Linked DNA regions of Solanum lycopersicum. The protein of the gene in region 1 interacts with the protein of each later gene in a pairwise test. Links are inferred from orthologs where the notes say so. Each region holds a gene or a part of one and is shown on either strand. Other genes may lie near its edges.

Region 1 (4,214 bases):
TGTTACATATAGGGAAAAAAAAAAGTAATGTCAGTCACTCACCCCTCATCACCTAATTTTTTAGTTAATGGTTTTTGGTTAAAGATTTGATAAGCATGATGTCATTGTAGTATTAGGATATAGCACGCGTAGAAGAAGTAATCAATTAGGGGATTGAATAAACTAATTTTGATTTGTTTACTTATCTGTTTAATTACGCAATGATGATTAATCTTAGTTCTAATCTTATCGTACACACTAAGCCAAAAGAACCATACTTGAAAAGCAAAGTGGATTTTTGTCCTTTTGATTAGGACTCCCACTTCCTAAATGAGCCATTTGTTTTATTGCACCGTTTTTTATTTTATTTTATATGAGTTAGTTCGAATCGGTAGAAAATTTTTAAATGAAAAGAAAACTTTTGAAATTTATTTGAGATAAGTGATATTTCTTGTGTTTAAAAAAAAAAGATTTTATTTTCTTCTTAATCTGTTTAAAAAAGAATGTTTCGTTTTTTTTTTTACAATAATTTAACTTTAACTTTCCATGTGACATATTTAAGACCACAAGATTAAAGAACATTTTGATATATTTGACATAACTTTAATTTAGAACCACAAGATTAACAAGTCTTCTTTCTTTTCTTAAATTTCATTATAAGTCAAACTAGGTCATCCTTTTCGTTAATATCCTTTTTTTAACGAAGAGAGTAGATATTTGTGTTGTTATAAGTTATTTTATAAAAAGTAAAATAAATATTTTAATGTTAAATTGTTACTTGCTATATAAACATGTCATTCTTGTTTGAGGTAACTAAAAAGAAAAATAAATCAAATTTAGAGAAAAATGTACAAAACACTTTTTTTATTAAAAAACTCGTTTAAGACCCTTTTGTAGAGCTTTCATTAAAAAACCCGTTTAAGACCCCTTTGTAAAGCTTTCAAATTTCGTACTTACTTTTTAAGGGGAGTTATTTTCTAATCGATTTTAAATTGTGAAAAGTTGATTATTACTATTTTTTCAAGTTATTTTCTTTCACACACAAAACTTCTCTACACTAATAACAACAACAACGGAGATTCTAGAAAAGATATAATGTATGCATGTATCATCTTTTACCTAAAAATAGAGATATTATTATGGATTAAAGTACATGAAATATTATACAAACAAGATAACTAATGGTAACAAGACAATGATTATAATTGAATCATGTGATGACCAAAAATATAAGATAATAAGTAATAAAAATCAAAGAACTAGAAATTACGAGTGCAACACTAACTACTAATATGAACAGATGATAAAACAACACACGATGACCTTCTAATTTTCTATCCTAATTTGTGTCCTCCCTAATCTTTCTACGTAAGATCCTAAGCATCTATTTCCAGCCCTCATCAACACACGTCCATTCATACACATTCATTTCTACTATTTTCTCGTTTTATCTCTGTTTATATAAATTATCTATAGCCAATCACTCACACATCCACACTAGAACATCAAAACATATCACTTTCAAATGTTCAAAATTATCTCGATCTTTAACTTCCGCACCAAAGCCACTTCCAAATGTACCTATTTTAATCCTATCTCTTCTAGAACAACGAGAGAGGTTACAACATAGTTGGTCTTAACTATTACTTTGCATTTAGTCACAAAACTTGTATGTTTTTGATCAAATTATATAAACATAAGCTTTCTTTTCAATGTTCAAAAGAAAAGCTGATATGATAAAGTGAAAAAGAAATTGAGCAGAGAGAGACGTTAGTGGAAGAAGAACTGAAAGAGAAAGGCGGGCGACCTTTGCTGACCCTTCAAGTCTCTCCCTCCCTGCATGTCCCCTTTTCCATTTTTGAACTGTTTTACACTTTACGCTTCTCTCTCTCTCCCAATTCCACCGTTCCGGTACCGGAAATTCAACAAACTTCCCTAATATTTCTCTATCACAAATTTTAAAACAGACCCACAAACACTGCAGCTTACTAGCTTTAGTTTTATGTCTTTAACTTTTGTTTTCAAGATTCTTGCTTCACACTTATTATTCAACTATTTCATACTTGGGTTTTTCTAAAGACTTCATTTTTAGCTTTAAAAAAAAACTTTTTTTTTTTTGGGTTTTGCGTATGGAGTATTAAGAGGAAGATTATGCTGTATTAGGGCTTGATTAGAGGTAAGGATTTTAGGAATGGAGTCGAAGATTTGCATGAATGGACTGTGTGGGACAACTTCTTCAATTGAGTGGAAAAAAGGGTGGCCTTTGCGATCTGGTGAATTTGCGACCCTCTGTGATAAGTGCGGGTAATTCAATTCAGATCTCACTCTCTCTTTATACTTAATTTATATATGTTTGTAAATTCAGTTTTGTTGTTCTTTTTGTTTTGTAGAAACTGGTTTGCCTAGTGCTCAACTCTGTTTGATCATTTTATATGATAACATTACCATTTAGAATGTCAAACAGTGATTTTTCATTGTAAAAATGTTCTGACTTATATACTCTTTGTATAGGTTTTGAATTTGCTTATTTTATTCGAGAAAAGATTAAGGAATCAATGTCCTACTAATTGAGATGGTTTGAAATTTGTTTATTGAGCTGATTGTTCTTTTTTGAAACGGAAGAAGTATTTACAATCTGAACAGTTTCTGTGTTTATGTTAAGGTTACTGTGTTGGTGAATACTGTAGCAGCTCGGAGAATTATCCTTTTTGTTTTGCTGAAAGATATTTGCTAAATCATGTTCTTTTATCCGACTGTTCTTTAATTCGACTAAACAATTACTTTACCTTTTCAAATTAGAGATTGCATATTCAATTTGAGAGAATTAATTCTATTGGGATAATATGTTCCTAGTCCAGTTCATGCACCCTAGTAATGGTTGCTCAAACTGACTCTAGTTCTGGAAAGATTAAAGATCCTGCAAGATCAAAATGTGGGAAAGATAATCCTTCTTCTTTCTGTTTCACTTGTTGTCTTTTAGGAAGTCAGTGCAGATTAACCTGCTTACGTTCTCCTAAGGATTTGTATTATCTGTGATTCTTGCTGTGTCATAGGGAGGTTTTTCTTGGCTGAGATCAGGAGCATGGGCTTATGATCTAAGTGAGGCCGTTGAAGCGAGCCAGAATTTTTAATAAGGGGGTTCAGAATCTGAAGAAATAAACACATGAAGTAGCCGAAGGGGGTTCGACATCTATCGTATATACCTAAAAATTTATTTTAACCATGTAACAATAATATAATTTTCCGCCGAAGGGGGTTCGGATGAATCCCTAGTGATAAGGTGGCTCCGCCCCTGTGTTGAAGTGATGGCATAACTTTTTTTTTCTTTCCAGAATTGTCTATTTGGTTCCATGTTAAGTTACTGTGGAGCAACTTTGTCTTTTTTTGCTCTTTTTGGCCTTTATATGAAATAGAGATTGCATGCAGTGATTTCACTTACAGTAAATAATACAGTGCTGATGGAATGAAACTATTTTATTATTAATATTTGTTATTTTTTTCCCTTTTGTTTTGTTTTGTTTGTTTGTTTTACTTCTGTTATTTTTCTGTTTATCTTTTGTTTCTTGGTCAGGATAGATGACTGGTAGTTAAATTCATGATAAACTTAGATCTTTTGCAATCTACCGCCTGCATTGCCGAAAGGAAAAACATTCACTTTAACTTTGGAATAAAATGTAGCTAATGACAGTTTCACCATAAACTGAAAACTGAAACTAATGCAGAGTCTTAGGGCATCCAGTTTGAGAAATTATATCTGGAACGCTTCTAGTGTAGACACATTTGCATAAAACTTATTGATGCCAAAGCAATTCCTGGTATAGTCGATGTAAGCACAAGTTGAATCGGACACCACTATTATTAAAAAAATAATTAAAAAGATTCAATGGCGATATATTGGAATATGGTGGTAACCAATTAGAATTGAAGACCACGTAGTTGTAGAGTTGTATCACTGACTCAGGAGCCTGCCCATTCATTAATGAGCAAGATTCTCTTCAGTATTGAGTGGCAAAATCACAAACCACTGCCATTAGTGGGTTGAACGGAAACTTCTGAGCCCTTTTTTCTTAAAAAGTTAAGATGGTTCGAGGACCAACTTGCGCTAGCATATGTTAACTAATCCATCAGCACAGATATCACATAATTCTCGGTAATTCTGACCATCATGACTTAGGCAGACTGCAGATGGGATGAATTGACCTAATGCACCTACTGGGAGCAAGCTTTGATTCCTA
Region 2 (3,659 bases), on another chromosome or scaffold:
ATGAATTCGACACGCATCCCGCACCCGCACCAGAGTCGCGTCTAGACGGGTTCGCCTGCATATATGAAGAGTCCGCACAACATATGTTCTTAATGCATTTTAAGCCTCTCTTTTACTATAATGTTTAACAACATATCTTCCTTACTCATTTCAGTGGTTATCCTTGCCCACCTTTTAAGATCATAATCCTTGATGAAGCAGATTCAATGACTCAAGATGCTCAAGTGAGTTGCCTTTCTCGTTTTTACTAATAAACTACATAAATTTGATCTAACACCTGGATTTGCAGAATGCCTTGCGACGAACTATGGAGACATATTCAAAAGTTACAAGATTCTTCTTCATTTGTAATTACATCAGCAGGTTTATTATCATTCTGCCTTTTTTTCTAATTTATCTTATTTCGATTTCCTTTGCTCTTCGTAGAGGTTTGTTTGTAAATAACAACACATTAACTGATTGTTTTCCTACGTAAATTGATTATTCTGCCCTTGGAAATCAGCTTTACTGTTTCTGTTGAACTCGTTTTTGTTGATGGAAGAAAATCAAATATAAAGAATGGTTGTATATTCTACGTTCTGCAACTGTAGAATTGGCGTCGGGATTGCCAAACTCTTAAATAATTCTGGAATCTGATTTAAGCCTTCTTGTCAGTTCCATATAACAAGTAGATCGGAGTTTTATCTTTAAATGATCCTTGAATAGTTGTGGTGAAACTCAATTAAGTTTTGCTCTTTTAAGTTTTTGCTATTTGCCCCCCTTTTCTCTTCTAGGTATAGGACAGCTGAAACAAGCTCAGTGATGGAAGTCGATTATGTGGCTAATTGGAAGTAGTGCTTCATTTCAGACTTATCTGTCCATGAAATCAACCTTGTATTTTCACTTGAAATGCATGTCGCCTATTTACAACATTTAATGAAATTATTTTGCAAACAAAACTTGGCTGATCCTTTTTTTGGTTTATTTGTTTGGGGCATCCTGGTGTGAGAATTACTGGAGACATTAAATAGTTTAACTATGATATGAATATTGGTGAATAAGTGCCAATTTACATGTGCAATTGGTTTCATCCACTCTCTTTGGTTTACTTATTTGTGCCTTTGGCTTGCTTTTTATTCAGTTTGATCTCTTTTAAGCTGTTTGAATGGTATGCGTGAAAATATTTTGGAGTAGGAACAAAATTGTTTCACTCTAAAGATATGATAATTTTACCATGATGAATCTGAGATATTAAGGGCTAGTTATGACATTGTTTTCTATTCTATGGTATTATAGAGCACCATTATGTGTAGGAGAGGTAAACTCATTAATCATAGGTAGTGCAACCAAAGACCACTTTTTGGGCTTGAGTCGGTGAGTATTTTGGAGATGATTTTGTACACTCGACCAATTAGGCTAATGGGTCTGAGGTCAGTGAGCTCCTTAGCTCCCATTTTTTTTGAAATTAAAGCCAGATAGGTAGAGTTGAAGCTTTTCTCAAAGACGCACCTCTCATGAAAGTTCTTGACTGTGGCGATCACATCTTTTCCAATAACCTCCCAACAATGGGTATAGAAGGCCATGGTAAAACCATCAGGAGCAGGAGCTTTGTCACTAGCACAAAGTTTGACACTATCCTTATCTCTTGATCCTCAAATTCCTTCTAAAGCATGAAATTATCTTCAGCATTAATTTTGTGATTCATCCTGCACCCACCTGAAGGTCTCCAAGTTTCTGATTCTGAATAAGTTCTAACAGAAAACTACAATTTCCTTCTTTATGTCTTTTGGATTCCTGAATACTTCACCCCCCACATTTAGCTCATCAATATTGTTGTATCTTCTGTGTAAGTTGGTGCGCGAGTTGGCAGTTTTGTGGGAGAACTTGGTGTTGTTGTTGCCCTGTTTTAGCCAACTAACCCTTGATCTCTGTCTCCATGCAATCTCCAAACTCTTAACAGAAGCTTAGCTTTTGAGTGGATCTCCTCTTCCCCAAGAGCTCTTTGATCCTGGACTTCCTCAAATTCAGCAAATTGATTGACTATGTTCTCTTTCTGTAATGCCAAATTTCCTTGTGCTGATTTGCTACACTCTCTCAACTCAATTTTAAGTGTTTTCAGCTGAAAGGCTAAGATGAAATCTGGCCTTCCTTCACAGTCAAAGGACCTCCACCATTCCTTGATTCTATCTAAAAAACCCTCAGTCTGCAGCCACCAATTTTCGAATTTAAAATAGGACCTCACAGGCTACCGAAACCATCAGTCTGCAGCCACTAATTTTCGAATTTAAAATAGGACCTCACAGGCTACCAATTCCCACATTGTATTAGAATTGGTGAGTGATCAGAAGTGACCTTTTGCAGGATTGATTGCTTGTTATTTTTGAAGCCTCCATTCCACTCATCAGACACTAGAAACCTATCTAGCCTAGCTGCAATTTCATGTTCCCCCATGTGTAACTTCTTACTGCTAATTGAAGGTCCAACAAGCTCATATCTTCAATGAAATCAGGGAGGTCAGACATCAATTTTGTGATTCTTGAACAATTTTTCTTCTCAGAGAGGAATCTAACTGTGTTGAGATCCCCACAAACTACCCAAGGGCCGTTGAACAGGCCTCTAGCTGACCCAACTTCCCACAAATCTTCTTCTCTTTCTTCTCTACTATTTGGAGCATAGATGCCAATAAGTACTGGTGAAGTCAAGACTTTTACCTATGAACTTGCAGGATATAGAGCATGCTTCCACACTGCTAACCTGCCCTGTCCAAACCTTCCCGTCCCAAATAATTAGGATGTCCCCGCTAGTACCACGAGCTTCAAGTTGACAAAATTCCACTCCTCAGTTTGCCCATAAATCTTTAATAATGTTTCTCACATCCCCTATAATCTTGGTCTCTTGGAAGCAATAAACATCAGCCTTCCACCCTTGGATAGATTCTTGATTACACACCTCTTATTTGCCTGATTCAGGCTTCTCCATTCCATGAAATTATCTTGACTGTCATTTATCACTAGCTAATGTTTAACCCTCCCTGCTTCTGGTACCATTATTTCTGAAGTTGCTCCCACATCCTAGGCTCTTAAGTTCTTTTGAGCCTTTAACTACTGAAGTTGAATTCAAGTTCTTCCCACCCAGTCAGTGTTATTCTGTCTCATACTATTGATCTTCATAAACAACCTCGTAGCTTCCTCTTTGCATCCCTTAGTGTTTACTCCGAAATCCTTTGCTAATTTTATGTTCTGATAGATCCAAATCGGAACGTCAAGCTCTGAATCATCTTCTTCCTCTGGACTACGTGGTTTAAAGGAACTACATCTTCAATTATTGTCAAAGAGTAGTTCTCTTCACCTCTCTGTGAATCAAGTTTTTGAAAGCAATAGTTTTCCAAATGCAGAATGAGAATCAGGAAGGTCTGGGCACTTGTTTGACACTTCCACTGTTTCTCTATCAACATTATCTTCTGTATCAGCTTCCTTCTCCATCGCATTTTCTTCCAGTTCTGTTCCTTCTATTTTTTTTGCACCTTGAAGCTGATGGAGGAATAGAAGTGGCTTCAAGTTCCGCAGTGATTGGCTCATTTAGCTGAGAGAAGGAGTTTTCAATGAGAGGCCCACTTAAAATGAATTGTGCCAGCAGATCCGGGCCCATTTTTTCGCCCTATCTTACATATTTGGATTTCT

Evidence for each region. The genes of interacting proteins can lie anywhere in the genome.
Region 2: the proteins of B3 domain-containing transcription repressor VAL2 (region 1) and replication factor C subunit 2 interact in binary tests that used the Arabidopsis thaliana proteins (3 or more experiments, as listed by UniProt). The link is inferred for Solanum lycopersicum from reciprocal best matches to the Arabidopsis thaliana genes HSL1 and EMB1968.

The regions. Positions count from the first base shown.
Region 1 is NC_090809.1:57,733,561-57,737,774, forward strand, and holds the start of B3 domain-containing transcription repressor VAL2, read left to right. Parts: upstream 1-1,296; 5' UTR 1,297-2,170; coding exon of another isoform or gene 2,171-2,192; coding exon 2,193-2,283; intron 2,284-4,157; exon of another isoform or gene 4,158-4,182; coding exon of another isoform or gene 4,183-4,214. UniProt on the Arabidopsis thaliana protein: Transcriptional repressor of gene expression involved in embryonic pathways, such as LEC1, ABI3, and FUS3. Repressor of the sugar-inducible genes involved in the seed maturation program in seedlings.
Region 2 is NC_090810.1:6,258,871-6,262,529, forward strand, and holds part of replication factor C subunit 2, read left to right. Parts: intron 1-154; coding exon 155-224; intron 225-289; coding exon 290-363; intron 364-3,659. UniProt on the Arabidopsis thaliana protein: May be involved in DNA replication and thus regulate cell proliferation.